Oryzias latipes: one gene and its partners. The protein of the gene in region 3 interacts with the protein of the main gene of each other region in a biochemical or structural test. Links are inferred from orthologs where the notes say so. Each region holds a gene or a part of one and is shown on either strand. Other genes may lie near its edges. The genes, in order: ticrr, rhno1, topbp1, e2f1 and rad9a.

Region 1 (3,750 bases), on a different chromosome or scaffold from region 3:
TCACCAATCAAGTTATCCAAGAATGATCTTGAATTTAACAACAGATGATCACATACAGGGTTTTCCACAATTATAGATTACAGGGCCTATACCCTGCTAAATCTTTTTTGTTTTTTTACTTAAGTGTATTATAATGTTCATTCCTCAAGAAAAGAAACCCTAAAGCGGCATCTCCGAGTATTCCTTTAAAAACCTGTACTGTGAGCACCAGACCCTCAAAACTCACGAAAACCAGTTGGTTCTCAGACGTTGCAATGTGAAGAACAGCCCCTTCCAGGAAGAGTCTGAACTACCCGCCCTCAGGCCAACACAAACATCCACTTTCTCCACGGAGCTAGCGGTGATCGGCAAAAACGCTTTCCTTTTATATGCACAATCTGCACATCCATCTTTGCAATTGTTTGGATGTTGTTTGTTTTTGGGGGCGAGAGGGAGACACGCTGCCGAGGGCAACGTCATGAAATGGTCGGCACCTACACGGAGCGAAAGGCGGTGTTTCAGAGATCAAGTCGTCTTTCTTCCTGGTTGGAAAAGAACTCCGGAAAATAACTAATATTTCATTTAAAAAAGTGTTCTTTTGTGTGCCAAAGGTAAAATATTCTCATATACATGGATATAGTTTACTATAAAAATCTTAAGAATAGCATGGTATAGGCCCTTCAAGATTACCTAAAAAAGGTTTAGAATGAAATGCGCCAAGTCTCACCTGACCAGTCAACTTTGCCTCAAGAAAAGCTTTCACAGCGGTTACTAGCTGTTGAACAACTTTCAGCAGAGATGAGTCTTTCTCTGCCACAGTCTTGTCATAGCTCGTCTTCAGGTGAGTCAGCAGCTCTGCCTCATCATTGAAACCTAAACAAGTACACGTTTATTTTGTTTTTTTAAGGGATGAGTAAAACATAATGTGATATTTTACAGTAATGGAACAATTATGTGTATTTGAAGTTAAAATAGCAGCACTCACTGACAAAACTCTGCCCTGCAGATTTTCCACGAGCACTTGTCCGTCTCTTCTCTGGTTTGTCTACCGTCCTGCTCTCAGTAGCCATCTGCTCCTCCTCAGACTGGTTCTTCTGGGCTTTTACATTCAGACGAGCCACATTCAGCATCTGCAAAGAACGACTCATCGTCTTCATCTTCTGTTTCACCGGTGTGCAATGGGCGCCACCTGGGGATGAAAAACAAGAATGAAACGAATTCCAAACATTTTTTTTATAATGATGTCAGACAGTAAGTTGGAAGTAAACAAAAATAATTTATAAGAACCTAAAAGTCTATAAAAAATGGCTTAGAAGTTCATCAACATGTAGGTATAACGTTTTTTTTTAAAAATACTCAGAATTGTTACATGGAGTTGTTCACTTACGTTTCCTCCCTCTCTTATTAACATGGTCCTGAGATGCTTGATACAGTTCAGAAAGACCACCAATCAGCTCTTGTTGAAGCAAACACGCCTCTTCTTCTTCACTCTGCTCTGGCACTGCACTCAGCAACCTATAATGATGGGAATCAAATTTAATTTGAGTTTCCTTTACAGAACGAAAGAATTTCAAAGAATCAAGATAATGAAAATTTCTATAAACTGATAAAAGTAGCAGTAAAAATTGATGTTATTAATATTGTGGACATGTGTATTTTTAACCTGTATGAAGAGCTATCAACTGGTATTTAGCTTACATGTAAATAAAAAGAAAAGAGGAAGACAAGAAACAAGCCATTCAACAGTGTTGTGAAAAGTAAAATGTAAAGTAAATTGTATGAAATTGCCATTAATGAGTTATTGCCCCTGTTACAAAAATATCCATGTAAAGAGATTTAAAAAACATGTTATACCACAAGTTGTGATGCCAGTTTTAGATATGCTTGCATTCAGCAAACAGAGTTCACATTTTTATTATAAATGGTGTCTGTCTTTGGGATGCATTGAAAGAGAAAAGCAGCTCTTCATCAGACTCTGCAATCAAAAGCTAGTTCACAGTAAACGGACAACAGAAAACTAAAATCCAGCTTTTGTACCTGAAAGACTCCATTAAATGAGAGCTCACTCCAGACAAGTCTGACAGAGGGAACCAGGTCTCCAACAAGCTTGTTGTCAGTGGGTGGCTTATTTCTTGCTGAGCCCACTCAGGGACCGGAGGATCTTGTATTTTATCTGAGAAGTAATTAAATGTACACAAATGACAATTTATCACTAATATTCAAAAATTGTTTGCTAAAATTGACTGCAAATGAGCATATAATGCATTTCTAATAAAGGACTTGGTAGACATCTGGATTCTGACCAAAAAAACAAAAACGGGAGCATTTCAGGCTGAAAATAACCCAACTCAATTCTGTAGCAGATCTTACTGTTTTTCAGTAAACAGGTGACATGTATGGCTGATATTCATGAAGTACAAAATCTTACCAATGAATAATACAATGACTTAAGCCAAGAGAATTGACAAATGATTTTGAAAACTTTAAGAAAGATTTCTTGTGTGGACAACTAACTAAAATTAGTGTTTGTTAACACAATAAATAGTGTTGTCATAACTTTATTGAGGTAAAGTTGAGAGAAAAATAAAATCATGTCCACCAAACTAAATTTGCCCATTTTACAGCTAGAGCCAAACCTCGTTAACACTCAACACCACTGTAACCTGAATACAACCACAGGGCAAGCTGTGTTGAAGTCATTTGGCTTCAATACAGCTTGAAAACATGTTTGCCAAAATAAATAAATTCAAAAGAATAAATGTGCATGTAGTAGAATATTATGTAGTGATATCAATTAATTATGACTTGTATGTGCAGCTGCATGTCAGTGTTCCTACCATTGACAGCATCTTCATCGTTGTTCATGATGTCATAAACTACTCCCAGAACACTGCTCACTACGTCTGGCAGATCAGTGGTGGTTTGAGGTGCCTCAGCATTTGTCTTCAGGAGCTGATTCTGCTGAGGGATTTCCGGCTGAAGAACAGTGAGTAGTGCTGTCGAGTGTGACAGAGGAGAAAGGACAGCCGAACACACCAGTCCACCGACATTCACCTCTGCAAGCTGAAAAAAGAAAGAAAGAAAGAAACCTAGATTAAGGTAATAAGTGATAGTCGATTTTATTCTAATAATTCTAATGTAAGTTTTTACAATTGGCATCTGTTTTGTTCATTCATTTTCTAATCTGTTTATTCCCTTTCGGGTCACAGGGCTGCCGGAGCCTATCCTGGCCACTTGTGGGCAAAGGCAGGGGGACACCCTGGACAGGTTGCAGCCTGTCACAGGTCCACAATCTCACACCCATGCACACTCACATTCACACCTGTGAACAATTTAGAGTGACCAATTAACCTATGAAGCATGTTTTTGGACGGTGGAAGGAAGCCGGAGTCCCCGGAGAAAACGCACGCATGCACAGGCACAACATGCCAACTCCACACAGAAAAGAAATGTCCCCCGTTGGTTCAGGTTCCCCAGCCAGGGGCCTTCTTGCTGTGAGGCAAGAGCACTAACCACTGCAACACCACCTTCATAATTATTGTTGAAAAAAGAAAATAACTTTATCTGGTCCTTAAAGACCCACGCTACTGAAAATCCTGATTTTGAAATTAGGCATCAGTAGTCTGTGATTGGTTTCAGGAGATAAGTGGGAGCATCATTGAGGAAAAATATATTTTTAGGCCAAATACAGCTTTTAGAGTTATAATTGTATATGTCGGTTGCAAGACAACCCCAAAAATATTGGTTTATTAATGACAATTATAACACAAA
Region 2 (3,258 bases), on a different chromosome or scaffold from region 3:
TATAACTTTCCCTGACCGGTCCTTCTTCCAAACAACCGTTAAGTCGCAACTCACTAAAAAAATCAAACTAAAAACATTCTCAGTTAATTGTCATCAATTCTATAATTATCAGGAGTTGAATATCAAAGCTACCGTACAACCGTTAGAAGCTAACGTTAGCTGCTTCAGCCCGTTTTCCGATGTTTGCGATGCCGCGTTTTATCAAAGTTAAAGGCGACACTTAAGTTTTCCCAACACAATTCCACGGACACGAGCGGGATTTTCACGCCACAATAGACAAAACTGAAGACCAAAGAAGTCCGTGAATAAGTAAGGATGTATTTTCAAGGCTTTACTCTTACCTTATGCTGTAATAACTCATGTTTATGCACGGTTACTAAGGAAAAGGCTCCTCGAAGAAAAACGCTTTTTGCGGACGCAGGAGCTGCGGATGAATACTCTGCCTTGGCAACCAAGCGGACCAATAACGAGCACTCCTATTGGCCGGCTGTTTTCCTAGAAGGAATCTAATTGGTTTACATCTGGGGAAAAGGTGGGAACAATAAAAGGTTTTCTCTAAAACGAAATGGGCTTCAAATGACCATCCAGTATGACTTAAATTTCTAATATGTGTTCAAAACTTAGAAAAATAAATAATTATTAATCAGATGTCAAATTCATTTATTTTTCATTTGATTCTTGTCAGGCAACATCAGGAAAAAATAATATTATTTGGGTGTGCAAGAGAAATGAAAAAGGATTTTTTACAAAAATTAAAAGATTTATGATAGAATAAACTTAAGTGACTAATCGAGGAGGCCCCTTTCCTTTAATATGATCATCAATCCCTTTCTCCTCCTCCACGTCACCTTCACCCCATAGTCCCTCTCTGGTGTGTCGGAGACCAAAACATTAGGATGAAGATGACACTGCGGGGAGGAGGGATCAGCCAGCAGTGAACAAACAGGGGGAGACATGGGGCAACTGTTCTGCTTCATTGTTGGAGTGTCCACTTCAGGAGGCGGGTCAACATTGCCAAGTCTAGGGCTACTACACCCACCGGGTGGAGTTCTGCTTTCCTCCGTTACCTCTATTAACTGATTTTCAGGTTGGTGCAAATATTCACTGTGAGATGGAGCTCTGTTTAAAGATTTTTGAGGATTTCTTCGTCTCTTAGGTGCAGGTAAAACTGTCCTATTGCTTTGACATGATCCCTGTGGTTGATCTTCAGGCATTGACGTCACCTCTGCCGCTTTCTTTGTGCGCTGTCCACTTGGATTATGGGACTTGTCTCTCTCCGCCCTAAGAAATAATAACGATGGGTATTTGCACACTTTGTGTTTCCTGGACAGCTCGTTGCACGTGTCAAGAATCCTTGTGACGGACTGACAATTTCTTCTTCCTCGTCTAAATGGAGGTGTAGCTGAGATGTCAAACTGGGGTTGAACCTGAAAGGTTGGGAAATTTATAGTTAAGTAGACTTTTTTGCCAGTTATCTAATCAACTAAATCTATATTTGTAATGTTTTATATATTTTTATATATTTAAAAGACTTTTACCCAGGAACTGAGAGCTGAAGAGCTGTGTGTCTTGGAGAAAAACTCTCTGGGATTGAGAGCAGCTCTGACTTCAGGCACATTTTGAAGTCTGGCGCCACTCACAGGTCGCTCCAGGAATTGCAGTGCAGGCTTGTCTGTCTTTGCCGCTTTCCGGGGCATCAATTTAAATCAATCTTAAGCATCTGTTCAAAACAAACAAGAGACAAATCCGATCGAGTAATCTTGTTAACAATACACATAGCTTTAGTCGTAGATCGAGGCTGTTTACATATTCGCATTCAAGTGTTTACTTTTGAAACGCGTTCTTTACTTACCATATTGTGCTTTTTCCGTGATTATGTGTCCATGTACGGAATACGGAATAAAAACGTTCCCTTATTTTTCGGTTCATTCAGACCTTTTTATCTTAGCTTGTCCGTGTTGTTGTTACTTTTAATTTCCCGGATTTTTTCTTTGTCTTCTTCGGGTTAGCGGCTGGCCATCTCGAGCTGCGGCCCACAGCGCCACCTATTGAGCCGCCCAGTGTTTTTTTCTGCGTTTACTATTGGTCCATTGTTACCATGTGATCAAAGTGACAGTCGGGGCAGCGCCCACAGCGCCAAAATTCAAAACTGTTTATGGATTGACTTTTTGTATCTAATTACTACTAAATACGTCGGTTTTGTGAATATTTTAAATGTTTTCTTTGATCCGACAAGTGGAATTGAAAGCCGAACCAAGCCTGGAATTGAATGAAACGCTGCAGTAATTCAGTAATGTGAAGGTCTGGCTTCATTTTTCCACTTGTTTCCTCCATCGTCAAACAGCTTTAGCATAGCTAGCTTAGCCTAGCTGTAAATAAAGGAAACTATACGCTAATCGGGACATTGGCTAGGCGCATGTTATTTTTTGAATTTATTTTTTGTTTTATTGATTGCATTGTGTTAACATGTAAATATATGTTGCACTGAATATCCACTAGATAGACGTTATTGAAATTAAACCTATCATCAACTGAAAATTATAACGACTGGCATGTCGCCAAGGGAACCGAATAAAATCTTCACTTTCGAGCGAGGGACTGTTGGGACTTTTGCAGCAAACAGACAGCAATAATCGGGTTTCTTTAAGTTTGAAGACGATATCATAGGATTGAAACATCATTTTTGACCGATTACTTCGTATTCTATTAGCAGGTATGTTGTTTTCAGGCTCACTAGTTCGGGGTTATCGTTAAAGTCAGTATTTAAACGTTGTAACGTAATGTATTGATAAGGTGTTTAACTTCTGAGTACTTTTTGAGCCATAACTGTAGCTCAAGACCTTTTCCCCCTCCCCACAGATTTCCATTGAACACCTAAGGCCCTTTGGATGATTTGAACCATGAGACGGAGCCCAAGGAGACCCCTGATCCTCAAAAGGCGCAAGTTACCTTTTCAACAAAAGGAACCCACCCCAGCAGACCCATCCAGGCAGTCCGGTGGCTCCAAAGAGCCGTCAAATTCCAGCGACAGTTCGTGCTTCCCAGACGGGGTCCGCTTTATAGGCCACCCATCCCTGTCAGACACTCAGGTTGTGGTCATTCCCAAAGCTACAGACGTTCAGAGTGTAATTAGTGTCCTCGCCGCTAAAGGCAAAGACAGCGGAGTTCAGGGTCCGAGCAAGTTTATTCTCCTGAGTGACAATGGCAATCAGGATCAAGCCGGATCTTTCTGTGAGACTGCTACTTCTGGAGGAGATG
Region 3 (4,284 bases):
GTAAAGCAGCAGTGATGGGTGGTAGAGTAAAAAAATGTACATTTTTTATCAAAGCTTTATTAGTAACAGTAAAATATGACACAAAAGAAGAGAAACTCATTACAATATGAAACAGTTCGTAACTGTGTTAGTGAATGTTCATGAAAATGAGGACGTATCGGGTATTCCTATTATAGTCCAGTTTTGTTCTATATTTTAGTGTCTCACCTGCTGGTTCACTGACAATGAGGTGCGTGCACTCGTTCATTTTAAGCTGGCCGCTGTACTTGGCGCCGTGCTGTTCACAGAGGCGCTGCACCTCTTTGCGTTCTGTGCTGGACAGGCCTGTCACACAAACGGTGCATCCGAGCAGCACGGGGCACAGATATTCATCCATAGGCAAGTCTGTGTATCTAAAAAGGCTGAAGAGAGAATAAAAAATATATAACTCTACAGAAACTTAGTTTTATGAATCAGCGGTAATCTATGGAAACTAGGGTGATGAAGTGTAAAGAGTAAAAATAACAATACACTATTAGCACTTATAATAAAGACCACAAAGGAGCAAATATTCATTGATTCATTCATTCATCTTTCATTTTGTCCCTTTCGGAGTCACGGGGCTGCCAGAGCATATCCCGGCCACTTGTGGGGGAAGGACACCCTGGCCAGTCTGTCACAGGGTAGACTGTCCACAATCACACACCCATTCACTCTCACTCTCATGTTTTTGGGCGGTGGGAGGAAGCCGGAGTCCCCAGAGAAAACCCACGTATGCACGGGGGAGAACATGTAAACTTCACACAGAAAGACCCCCTTTTGATGTTCCATTTCAGGTCCCCCAGCCGGGACTTGAACCAGGGGTCTTCTTGCCATGAGGCAAGACCGCTAACCACTGCGCCACCCAGGAGCAAATATGTAAAACAAAAATAATCAGTTCATACCTATTCTGAGATTTTTCCCAGCAGGCTTTGACCCATGAGGGTAGAAGGATGGGTTTACCCAAGTTGGCAGCCACCAGATACTTTTTGCTTCCAACCTCCCCAGCAATTAAATGTGTGACGGACACATTAAGATCAAGGCAGGCACGTCCACCCATGAGCTGCACCAGATCCATCACATCCACCTGCAGAGTGAGACAAAACATAAACATGAACAAACTCAAGGCCCGAAGGCCAAATGTGGCCCGCCATGTCACTTTATGTGGCCCGTGAAAGCATAAAAGTGATTTAGTGTCAATTCATGAGGTCACATTTGGGTTTTCATTTAACCTAAAAAAACAACAACTAATTATAAAGTTTCTATTCTGGTTTCATGTAAAAAAAACTGTTTCTTTTATTCTCTATATCAAAAACTAACAGCAGAGATATTTGTGCCTAAAAATGCAAGAATCTGCATTAAACGAAATGATGCACAGATTTAATTAACTAGTTTTCAAAACATTATCAGTGCAATACATGCAAATAACACAACTGCAATGAAATGGTGCAACAGTCTCAGCATTTTTCAAAGACAGACCAGAACTCACCCGTGCGGCTTTTTCCAGGCTGGTGCAGGAAATAGTGACATCAGCCATGGCCATGTTGTAGACCGGCTTCTCTGCTTTTGGGACGCAGCGTTGCTGCTGCAGGCAGTACAAAACCACCAAGGGGCTCACGATTCTACAGCCATGCTGCACAACACAGAGCAACGAAGCGTTCATTCCTAAAAATCCTGCCAGGAATTTTGCTTTCACTAAGGCGACAAACCTTCTTGCAGTGCAGAAAGGCAGGAGAGGTAAAACTGCTGAACACAAACAGAGACTTGTCCTTCTCTTCCATCTGTAAAACCTCTTCCTCTTTAACCTTCTTTAAATATTTTTCAGACTGCAGCTCCAAAATGGCCTGTTAGAATAGGATGAAAATTATATAATAAATACTAAATAAATATACATCGATGAACATCCAGAAAAAAACGTCTGCAGAAAGGACTGTGCAGTTGTGTTTACCTCATACGCTTTAACAGCATATTCAGCATTAGATCCTTTACTCTCCACAAACTTCACAATAAAGCGCTCCTTTTCCACTTTGGACATGTTGAGTCTACACAAGAGTCAAAATAAAAGTTAGAGAACATCTTCTTTACGTGCCCAACTTTTGATGCCATGTTTATATCAGCATGCAATAAAAATCAAACAAAATGAATTTAAAAAGTACATTTGATGGAGCAGTAATTTAAGGATTTAAAAAAAAATCATTAAAATTATAAACACAGCCGGGGAGCATTTGAGTTTGTTTGGATTGGAAGCTGCTAAAATCTGGGTGCAGCATAACAGCTGAAATAGGTTTAACTGCTGGACATGATGGGACGGCAGAGTCAGCTAACATTCAATGTTAGCACTGAACGCTAGCTAGACTTTTAACTTGAAGTTTTTTTTTTTATTTAGCGAATTTTATTCTGTAAAAAGACGCCGAATTGGGAAGACGTTTAAAATGTGCCAAAAGAATACAACTTGTCATCATAACTAAATGTTACAGACCATGGAACGACTCAAGAAGGAGTACATCATCATGAATATATTTAAACTGGAAAGTACTTACCTATAAATCCGTTTAGACCAGTCCTTTAGGCCGCAATACAGACAGCATGTAATCAATAGTCTGGTGTAATGCGTACAATGCTTTTTTTTTTTTTTTAATTCAAGGAGTCGCTACGTTTATACTTTCATTTAGATCAAAACTACTACTAGCTTACAGAAAACGTCCAATCGGGTTAGCTAACATTCAAATTGTCAAAAACGAAAGAATACTTAAGTAAAGTAAGTTGGTGTTCAACATTCTATTTTGCCAAAATGAATAAATAAATTGACATAAAAATACAAGTTTATTCTAATAATAGTAATTTTAAAAAGTCCTCAGGCTCAGCCAAATGAAATGCAGTTATTTGTTTACATTGTTCGCGCCTTTCGGCGTAACTTCCGGTGTTACTCCGTAATGTGTCCGAGTGGAATCGGAGATCTTTCTTCTTGGCCGGGACGGCACGCATTTAGCATAAAACTTTAAAAATATATATCCGTCAGAGTGTCCATATGTAACTCACTGTCCTAGTAAAATAGTAGTTTGAAACATATACCATTAATCACCCTAAATGTATTTGGTTAAAATTAAATTAAAAAAGCTACATGTCTGCATGTACAACTTCAAAGTCATGCCCGGCATGTGACGTCAATAGTAATTTATCTACAATTTGGTTTTCACTATCCCCCCCCAAATAATTATTTTGGGCCATACATTCCCACACAATCATTTTCCCTATATGACAGAAATTCATCAAAACATTTGTTGTAAAAATCTGTATCAAAGCCAACTGTCATTCAGACTACAAATACGTCTTCTGTAAGAATAAATATACAATAATATTAAAGATTGTTTATTTAATCAGTTACAGAAATACCCAAATTACCCTAAAATTGTAAAGAAGACTTAGACTCAGTAGGTAGTGGAAATATTGATACCTTTTCATAAAAAATATAGATAATCTTAACTGAATGTTAAGCAATTAAAAATATATATTTGACAATAGTATGATTACTAGATTTGATTATTAGACAAACAGAAATAGACATACAAAGAACAACACTGTGGGTTCCCTTTTATTCTTAAAATTTTATGTACAAGTGTGACAGATTTTTTATTTTTAAATGTACATTCATGTAGAAATTTTATATACGCAATATTACATGGAACATTTCACAAATTGCACTAGTCTTTCACAAATATTCTTAATCAGTCACTCAGGTCAGCAGAAGCTCATTCCGGTGGTTATTTTTCCATTTATAAATATTCTAGTGCTTTTTGCTTTCTGGGAGGAGAATTACTTAAAATGAGTCATGGAAGAAGATTAAACTAAAGAAAACAGAATCAATGATGAAGAGTCGAAGGCTGGAAAATAAAGGGGAGCAGATTCGTGTAATGATCCCAAAAACGTATGCAGGTCGAAGGTTTGATCTAGAGTTGTTCATTTGCGCAAACCGAACAGAAAAAGTCATTTTTTTCCCCATTACTGGTGTATTTTTAAAGACAGTTTTGTGAATTACATGTCATGTGAGAGGTGAAAAGGTCCAGACACCATGGAGGCAAATAAATCCCGTCGGAATAATTTCAGTTTAACGCATCAGAGGAAGAAAAACATTCCCTAAATAACAAGCCTTGGTTTGCCTAGAAAAAAATCTAGAGTAAAAAATATATTCATACAAAAGTAAACTTTTTCTGTTGTTGAAAGAAACAAGAAAAAATTAATAGAAACAAAACAAATGTGGTCACTAAA
Region 4 (4,379 bases), on a different chromosome or scaffold from region 3:
TCTTGGAGATGAGCTGGATTCCCTCCAGGACGTTGGTTATGTCGTAGATGCGCCTCTTCTGGACGTCCAGGACCTGCGAGGCCCAGTTCAGATCCACCACGCCATCGGCCGACTGGGACAGCAGGTTGAGGAAGCGCTTGGTGGTCAGGTTCAGGGAGGTGTCGTACCTCGACTTCTCCGCCGTGCTTCGAGGAACTGGAAAAGCAGTGAAAAACACGCCGCCTTAAACCTCCTCCACAAACAAAACACACATCCAGGTGGAAAACAGGTGATCCTCCGACTCCAGCTGTGAAGACGTTCCAGCGGCACAGGCAGGCCTCGTTTGGACCACGCCATCGAAACTTTTATTTTCTTTAAGGTAATATTTATAACCAGCCTTTAAAGAAACTCCAAGCCCCGCCCTCTCTGACGTGGCCACGGGACCTGGATTTCGGAGCCACGGCGGGTCTTTTGGTGGTTTAAAAATAGAAATCCACCGATGAAGATTCTGCTGAAGGAAACATCTTAGAACTGAACGGTCAAATGTGGATTTCAGTGATAAAAAAACAAAAGGAACTGAGGCTCAGCCTTCAGCAGAAATTCTCCTTCAACTTCTCATCCCAACGGCCCCAAACGTCTGCGGACGGAAACGCTTCACGCAGCATGTGGACGCCATGATGTCATGAGTCAGTCTGAGCGTTACGCAATCCAAAAGATGTAAAATGATTGGTGGTCCTGTTCAAAAACACAGGACCTGGACTGCTCTATCCTGCATTAAATTAGGATTTAGATAGTAAAGAATTCATTAAACACAGTTTCTGACTCATGAAAATGTGAAATAGGAGGATTTTATAGTATTTTACGCACCGGGTCCTCCTAAGACCCGGTCCTTTTGAAAAACCGCTGGACCTGGACTCATTTTTATTTAATCATTTTAAAGTTTTTGTGGCTTTCCTGCTCGCAGCGCTCTGTTGTTTGGGATTCTGTTGCCTCCCCTCTTGTGAATTCGTGTCGTCTGCCTGCAATGCAGCTCACCAAACGACGGCAGACTAAAAATAGATCATTTTAAATTGATCAACTACATAAAATCATCCCATTTCAATGTTCATAAATCAGAAGCTGTGTTTAATGAATTCTTTACTATCTAAATCCTAATTTTAATCCAGGTTTGAGCAGCCCAGGTCCTGTGGTTTCTGAAAAGGACCTGGTCTAAGGTGGTCTTAGGGTGAAAAATGCAGTGGAATGTTCCTTTAGTGCCCCCGCTAACCGGACGCCAGCTTCAGCGCCGTGAAAGGATGCCGAGTCGGCGCTCCTGCTCCTGAGCGTGCGGCGTACCTCTGGGAGGAGCAGGAGTAGAAGGAGGTGCTTGGCTGGCGGAGGATCGGGTGGTGCTGACATACTGGTGGTCGCTATCCAGGTCCAGCTTCCTCTTCACCTAATCATCAAATGAAGAGGAATCGATTATGTGAACCCCGGCGTGTGATGATGTGGCGGCGGCGGCCGCCTTGAAGCCACGCCCTCACCGGAGGTCTTCCCAGAGCCGGCCTCCTCCTGTCCTGGCCCCCCGCGTCGGCGTGGCTCTGCGGCGTGGCGAATAGCAGGATTTCCCCCGTGCTGCTGGGGGCGGCCAGCGGGTGGAGTCCCTCATTGCTGGGGCTGGTGATGATGACGATCTGGTGGTCCTGGCTCAGATCGATGCTCCCGGAGTTCAGCAGAGTCTCAAAGTCCTTCAGCAGATCCTCGGATGTCTGACCCGTTATCAGAGTCTCTGACATGGCACTGCCTGCCGCCCAAAGGGCTCCTGCAGCAGACTGGGGGAATGCCAGGGAGGGTGGGGGCACCAACTGGGGTATCAAAACAGGCTCAGCACCAGGTGACCCCAAACATGTTAGGAGGACTTGAGGAGAAAATGCTGATCCATTAACCTCTCCTCCTCCTCCTCCTCCTCCTGCTGAAGGTTGACCTACAGCGAGCCTGAAATCTGCAGATCAACCACAGAGGAGTCGAAGGTTCAAACGTCAAGGCGAGACGTGGAGCCCAAACAGGAAACGACCCGCTGAGCGCATCCTACTTTAGGCTCACGCGCTGCTCGGCTCGCGCGCCGTTTTCAGCGGAAATAAAAGAAGGTCAAAAGACGAAGTAGAAGAAGAAACCCGCCGTAAATTGAGATCATGAGCGAGCTAGCCTGCTAGTCTTTCGTTTTCCTGTCAGAGGCCTCGCCACTCCGTCCTCAAACACAGAGCTACCAAGCTAACGAACTAGCTTACCACAAGAAAAGACTACAACAACTTTGCTAATAAACACGAACAACAGCAGAGGACTACATTTACCACCACTACCTAAAAGTTTATCTCCTTTTCCCTACGATATGGCTTCATTAACGGGTTCGGAAAACTTTATAGACGCTCACAGAACTGGGCTATCTAAGCAATAAAAAAAATACACATTCACTCGGCGGAGGCATCATGATCGCAGATCCACACCATCTTTGAGAAAATAGTTCCCAAAAGAAAGCAACCATCCGTCCGGGCGACGGCGACGACAGAGAGTTTAGCGCGGAAATACGGGGAACTTTAGCATGCTAGCTTCAGGGATTAGCTGCAGTTCTTCGGTCCCCCTCGTACTGTTGGGGCACGCAGGAAGCACTCGGAGAAACGCGGGAGATGCAGACAAAACGGAGGAAATACTCGCTCAAACGTTAAAAAATGTGCCGATGCTCCTTCGTCTGCTCGCCGAAGATCGGGTCCATCTGTAAACGAGCCGCGCCGACCCCATTAGCAGCCGTCATTGTTGTTGTCCCAGCTGATCTATATCTAAACAAGGCTGGACGGTTTTCGCGCGAAATCCTTTTTGCCGCGAAACTGGCACGTGGGGAAAAGCGACCGCTGGGATTGGCCAGTGGGATTCGTTTTGCGCGTGACGCGATTGGTGTCTTCCGATTGGTGGAAATGGCCGTCTGTCACGTTACAGAGCATGGGGAAAACTGGCCTTCCATGTGACCAGGTTGGTGTTCTCTGATTGGCGGAGATGGCCGTCTGTGACTCTCCAGAGCACAGATTTGCTGATTGGGAGGTGCATTCACGTTCCACGGACAAAAGGCTTCTTAACTGCTTTGTTTAGGAAATTTTAAACAAAATAGTAAAACACGTAGTGTCAGTTTCATGTAAGGTTTCCCAAAACTAAAAGATAAACTCCTTTACCATATTAAATATATGATGTAACAGTCTTTGCGTCCCAGCTTAAAAAAGTTACGTTTTTTCAATGTAGTCCCTAGCGCTCCCTCTCCGTTTAAGCAATCAGATTAACAAAAAATAAAGTTAAATCTGATTGCTTAGGAACTTTCTAAACTAGAGTTTTCTGGGGGTCTGAACCAAATGTGATAAGTTTTTTTCTATTTGCAAATATTAATGTAAGCATTTCATTGGGGGGTCTGCACCTAAAGTAACAGACCCTACCAATCGATCACCGATGGTAAACAGGAGCGCTGTAAGATGGCGCAGACAATATTCGAGGCGCTGGAAGGTACAAATATAGTCTTATTTACCGCGCAATTATTAAATATGTTATATGCCAAAGAAAACCACATCATGTAAATTAACTGGAGACTTGTTTGAACACTAAATCACCCTTTAAACGGGTATTATGTAGGCTGTAAGCACCCTGAACTGAAGGGTTCTGCCTGATCTGATGATGATGATTGTAAACAACCTGATTATATTTTAAAGATTAAGACTGTACTGCTATAAACGGCTTTTTTTGTAAATGTAATATTAATTATTTCTGTAATATAATAACTCATCTCGTATGTCAGTGTAAAAGCTGTACATGTGACAATAAAAGCTATTCATTAATATGTGAACATGCACTCCTCGCGTTATTGTTTCTGTCACTTTCATGGAGAAGCAGATCTTCTTCTAACATGTTGTAAAAAGAAAAGCTGTTACTGATGTTAAATCCCTGTTTCCCTCCATCCCCTCAGGCATGGACAACCAGACCGTTCTAGCAGTCCAGTCCCTGCTGGATGGCCAGGGGGGAGTCAATGACCCCAACAACCAGAATGTGTCTGCAGGATCCACCATCCAGTCTATGGGTAAGGAGCATTCTGCACCGAGCTCCACAGGACTGCTACAGATTAAGACAACTAAGCTCAAAGTTGCATTTCCGAGTATTCGTAAAAGATCGCATTTGTGACGTAGAAAATCCGCCGGGCGGGGCCACAGGCTCCCTGCTCCGCCCCATTCTGATGCATCCACTTGCAGACAAATAGGTTGAGGGGCTTTTATCTAGTGTGTAAACAAAGAGCTCTCAGCAACAAGGGGGTTGCTCTGTGCCAACAGTCACGCCCACAGCTCCTGGCGCTCTGCAGAATCTATGTTCTAGAAAACAAACAGTTTTTTTCC
Region 5 (4,357 bases), on a different chromosome or scaffold from region 3:
CGGGTTTTAGCTCAAAAACTTTCACTTCTAAACAGTTAAATCGGATAACAGTCGGTAAGCAATCATACATATTCCTATTCTTAAAATTGAAAAAGAAATAGATTGGGGGAGTTTAGGAGTTTGAAAAAATAATAATAATAGTCGTACAAATGCATCGTATGACAGTCAAGATGTCAAAGAAGGGAAATAAAGGGATTTTTTTTTCTAAAAGGGGACAAAAATATGTTTAATGACTAACCAATAAAAGTAAGCTTGGACTGCCAAACTTAACAGGACGGGTGAAAGCTATAAGTGGCAGATTAAAGCAAATCATATCAATGTCATAAATCTTTCATCTGATCACGTTTATATTAAAAACTTTAATTGCAATCCACCTCTTTATTTTTAGAGCACCTTTCATCAACATGCTTGACATAAAAGTCATATGTAAACATAGGTTAAAAAGTCATAAAAAACAGTAGATTAAAAGCTTAAAAGATAGAAGGGTAAAAACATACTAACGATAACATAAAATACTGAAAAGCCAAATAAATAAATAAGTTAATTATATGAGTTACGCAGTGCTACGTTAGAATGATGCATCTTTAATTTACATTTAAAAATCTCCACGGATGCAGAAAATGTCAGATCTGCAGGTAAGTTACTCCACAGATGAGGAGCACTGTACTGAAAAGAGGCCTCGCTGTGAGTCCTGGTTCAGATTAGAGAGCAGGACCTGAGGATCTGACAGTTCTGGAGGAAGGAGTATGGAGATGTAATTGATGCTAATAACAACTAAATGATTACAAATATTACTAACAAATAATGGTCAAAGTATGTTTTATTGGGAAATGTACTTAATAAAGGACAAAGAAAAGTACTTGGAGTCATCTGATGATGAGCTTTGGGATTTTTCACAAAAAGATAAGCAGATTCACTTTCATTGGTAAACAGCTTGAGAATCCACCTTTATTGCTATCTTGCAGCGGAAGTTTCTCCCGTCGGGAATCGAGTACCTGCACAAAAACACGGGCAGTTGGAAGCTGACTTGCATCACTGACACGATCTGTGATTGATTGAAACGAGAGCGGAGCGTGCACCTGCTGAAGAAGAGTGGTGCGAACAGGAAGCAAGCATATGCCGACCGAGAAGAGTTCACAGACCGCAGCGCCAGCTACAAGAGAGAGATGCATTCAAATCAGCACCATTCGTCGACGCAAACAGGAAGTAAGCAAAATATATACATGATGGTTGGTAGGAGGAAGTGCTGGTGTTTCTGACAGCGTCAAAGCAGCTCACCCCGTCTTCCTGGGGCTCCACGTACAACTCATCACCGATGCGCGACAGAGAATGGATAGCTTTGGCCAACACTATTGAGTGGACGCACGCGCCCAAACAGGTAATAACGACAGCTTTGTTATTATTATCAATGGTAGTAGCACAATTGTGTTTCAGTGACAGAAAAATCCTGGTCTACCTTTCACGTTTCCTCCCGTCACGACACACTGCATTTCTGCAAACGAACTTTCCCCGTCGAGTTAGTCTAAAATGAATCCAAACTAGCAGCTGTGCAACACCATCGAAATAATTAAGGGGGCTTTCGTATGTTGCACGTACAACACAGACGCACTTTCTAAACTTATGCTTAAATGTTAGTGGAATACCAAATGTTTTTTTAGGAGACTGCAAGACAGTTGAGCCAAACCTCACGTTGTTTACGGCGCCACAAGCTGCTTCCGCACAGTTGACCAATCAGAGTTACTGAATTTCGAAGAGGGCGCGGCTACACCCATGCACATGCGCAATAGCTTTGGTGTTTTTACTATGAAATTTCTTTACGTCGACACTCGCAGTATTAAAGGATTCAACCTGTCTTTACAACTTATAAAAATATTATTATTTTTTTATTTAACAGACTCCGAAGCAAAGTATATAATATATTTTTCTGATAGACGGACAGCAACTTAACTGTGTCCACTCCGTCCACCACAGCCACCCACTATCACTCAATATCACTTTCCACTTAACATATTACATCAAATTCGTCTTTTTAGTCTACTTCTGTTGAGGTGCCCACTCCCCCAACACATTACACCTAAGAGCAAAGCAATGTCATTTCAGTCATTTAAACTAAAACAGAGAATTTGGTCCTTTAAAGGCTTTTACCTTATTAAAAAGTGCAGTATGTTTCTTTTGACCCTCTTCAAGCTTTAGGTGGTTACAGGTGATCAAGTTCTTCACCTTCTTTGTCCTCTTACTATGACTAGATTTCTTGAAAGAACTTGTAAAGCTGCAGTCTTTGTTGTAGACTTTGCTTTCTTTGGCATGATTCCCACACATTTTGGGCTGTATTCTGGAAAACAATACCAATGTGGAATAATTGTAGGTGTTTTTATAAAAATACAGGTAATATCCTGAATAACTGAAGTGTTATTATCTGTTTCTTAAAGTTTTAAAGATAATTCTGTTACTTTATTCTGTTTTTGTGCTTTTTATGCACGTTTATTTCACATATAGGGAAAAGTTGCTGTAGTTCAAGTGGTAAGTTTGACTCCCTGCCAACAATGTCAAGTTTTTGACATTGTTGGCATTTAGATAAAATGAAAAAACAAAAGTAAAGGGTGGAGGTAAAATGGCATTTTCCAAAAAGCTGACTTTTTGTGTCATGTTTCTTCTTCTGTTTAGAAGTAGCTACTGATCTTACAAAACCTCACTGTAATTACTAGCTGAAACCCAAAGTGGAGAAAAATAGTGCATGTGTAAGAGAGCCTGAGAGAAATAGGACGGAAGGGCAAGCTAAACTGGCTGCAAAGCCAGAGTCACAAAGGGAGTCACAAAGGGAGAGTCACAAAGGGAGAGTCACTGGGAAAGCAAAGTTATCTAACCTCACTGGTTTTACGTGTTGGTTTGCTTCAGTGCGTGAGATCTGAGGAACGCTGTCGAGAACCACCTCTCCTCTGATCACCGCTGACAGTAGTGGCCGCGAAAAGAAGAAGAGGTGGGACTAAACTAATCGCTGTGGACATTCAGTGAAAGATATCTAATGGATACAAGAGGACTGCCTTCGGGAGGTGCTGGCTTCTTTTGTTAAAACGAGGAAAGGAGGACCCCTACTTCATAAAACCTGAGGATTCTAAGTGGAGGAAATTCAAAATAACAGGAAGACATCAACAAAAGAAGTGACAGGACGTTCAACTGACCGTTTGCAAAGAGAAAGTGTAAGCATGATTGAAACAGACCAGAACATCCCAAAAAAGGGACTTAGTCCTTGCAGGATGTTTTTTATATCAAATAATTGTGACATTTCAATTTTTCTAACATGGGTTTCAGCCTCAGTACAACAGAAAATGGTGTGATACCTTTGCTAGTTTAGATAAAAAGAGGATTATTCGTTTGTACACACTGTGACTACATCTAAATGTGACCTTTAGAGATGTCTCAGTCACAGCAACAGACAGACACGCAGGCCATGCTGCAGTCAATGCTTCAGAAACTGAAGCTCCAGCCAGGATCAGAAGGCCATGGATCCCAGCAAACATTTGCCGTGGATGCTCCCACACCGGTGCAACATCATGAAAAAGGATTGTTCCCTCCACAGGGGGTCAACACCAGCACTGTGGAAGTGTTTGGTTTCAACGGAAGTGCCTTAAAAGAGTATGGGTCCCCCACTGACTTTGGCTTTAGTGGTGGAAAAGGGAAGCAACCAGGTCCTGGCTGTGAGGTGAGCAGTCCAGTTTCCTTCCCTTCTTTTAATTTCAGTGCTGTTAGCAACAAGAGCAAGAGCTGGGTGCTGGAACACGCCACTCATCCTGGGGTCACACCAGCAGCAACGTGGCATCTGTTTCCTGCAACATCACCAAAGGACATTGATCTCACTTCCTTTAAGTCCACTAATGGGGACACAAGCACTTTTGGAAACTTTACAATGACTCAACCCTTCCTTGCTAATAAGGAGACTGCTTTTAATTTGAGATCCAATCAGACCACAGTTCAGGGTTTCACACCCAAATCGCATGTGTGGTCCAAGAAGGGTACTGATGCTGACAAAGACAACAAGGAGTTGAACACGGGGAATGGTGCAGGTTTGGACCAAAGTAGAGGCTTGCACTTTGCAAGTAACCAAAAACCAGCAGGCAGCAGGAGAAAACAGAGATCAGAATCTGAGAATAATACCAAAAAGAGATGGACACAGAAAATTAAGGAGAGACTAAAGGACAAACAAGGGAACAATGGCAAAAAGCCAAGAGAAGAGGGAAGCACGACAGATAAGATAGCCGAGCAAGAAACTCAGGTGAGTAGGATATGTTCACTTTTCTTATTTCCTAAAGTCAAAATTTCAAAAATAAATCTTTAGATGGAAAATTGAGGATTTTTAATT

Evidence for each region.
Region 1: the proteins of topbp1 (region 3) and ticrr form a complex in vitro, tested with the Homo sapiens proteins (2 studies listed by BioGRID). The link is inferred for Oryzias latipes from reciprocal best matches to the Homo sapiens genes TOPBP1 and TICRR.
Region 2: the proteins of topbp1 (region 3) and rhno1 form a complex in vitro, tested with the Homo sapiens proteins (2 studies listed by BioGRID). The link is inferred for Oryzias latipes from reciprocal best matches to the Homo sapiens genes TOPBP1 and RHNO1.
Region 4: the proteins of topbp1 (region 3) and e2f1 form a complex in vitro, tested with the Homo sapiens proteins (4 studies listed by BioGRID and IntAct). The link is inferred for Oryzias latipes from reciprocal best matches to the Homo sapiens genes TOPBP1 and E2F1.
Region 5: the proteins of topbp1 (region 3) and rad9a form a complex in vitro, tested with the Homo sapiens proteins (4 studies listed by BioGRID). The link is inferred for Oryzias latipes from reciprocal best matches to the Homo sapiens genes TOPBP1 and RAD9A.

The regions. Positions count from the first base shown.
Region 1 is NC_019864.2:8,295,074-8,298,823, reverse strand, and holds part of ticrr (treslin), read right to left. Parts: intron 3,043-3,750; coding exon 2,817-3,042; intron 2,153-2,816; coding exon 2,017-2,152; intron 1,495-2,016; coding exon 1,367-1,494; intron 1,169-1,366; coding exon 965-1,168; intron 853-964; coding exon 707-852; intron 1-706.
Region 2 is NC_019881.2:18,846,676-18,849,933, forward strand, and holds rhno1 (RAD9, HUS1, RAD1-interacting nuclear orphan protein 1), read right to left. Parts: upstream 2,017-3,258; 5' UTR 1,853-2,016; intron 1,721-1,852; 5' UTR 1,698-1,720; coding exon 1,539-1,697; intron 1,428-1,538; coding exon 786-1,427; 3' UTR 665-785; downstream 1-664. Other genes in the region: foxm1 (forkhead box protein M1), read left to right, coding at 2,901-3,258. UniProt on the Homo sapiens protein: Involved in microhomology-mediated end-joining (MMEJ) DNA repair by promoting recruitment of polymerase theta (POLQ) to DNA damage sites during mitosis.
Region 3 is NC_019878.2:21,472,587-21,476,870, forward strand, and holds the start of topbp1 (DNA topoisomerase 2-binding protein 1), read right to left. Parts: upstream 2,976-4,284; 5' UTR 2,910-2,975; intron 2,904-2,909; exon of another isoform or gene 2,559-2,903; intron 2,061-2,558; 5' UTR 2,054-2,060; coding exon 1,967-2,053; intron 1,863-1,966; coding exon 1,728-1,862; intron 1,652-1,727; coding exon 1,508-1,651; intron 1,106-1,507; coding exon 924-1,105; intron 402-923; coding exon 208-401; intron 1-207. UniProt on the Homo sapiens protein: Scaffold protein that acts as a key protein-protein adapter in DNA replication and DNA repair. Composed of multiple BRCT domains, which specifically recognize and bind phosphorylated proteins, bringing proteins together into functional combinations.
Region 4 is NC_019865.2:2,000,078-2,004,456, forward strand, and holds the start of e2f1 (transcription factor E2F1), read right to left. Parts: upstream 2,960-4,379; 5' UTR 2,051-2,959; intron 1,961-2,050; 5' UTR 1,755-1,960; coding exon 1,503-1,754; intron 1,415-1,502; coding exon 1,315-1,414; intron 196-1,314; coding exon 1-195. Other genes in the region: znf341 (zinc finger protein 341), read left to right, coding at 3,471-3,501, 3,959-4,069. UniProt on the Homo sapiens protein: Transcription activator that binds DNA cooperatively with DP proteins through the E2 recognition site, 5'-TTTC[CG]CGC-3' found in the promoter region of a number of genes whose products are involved in cell cycle regulation or in DNA replication.
Region 5 is NC_019868.2:13,973,507-13,977,863, forward strand, and holds the start of rad9a (cell cycle checkpoint control protein RAD9A), read right to left. Parts: upstream 2,817-4,357; 5' UTR 1,491-2,816; coding exon 1,457-1,490; intron 1,379-1,456; exon of another isoform or gene 1,350-1,378; coding exon 1,279-1,349; exon of another isoform or gene 1,160-1,278; intron 1,154-1,159; coding exon 1,080-1,153; intron 996-1,079; coding exon 947-995; intron 1-946. Other genes in the region: uncharacterized protein LOC105354882, read left to right, coding at 3,413-4,270. UniProt on the Homo sapiens protein: Component of the 9-1-1 cell-cycle checkpoint response complex that plays a major role in DNA repair. The 9-1-1 complex is recruited to DNA lesion upon damage by the RAD17-replication factor C (RFC) clamp loader complex.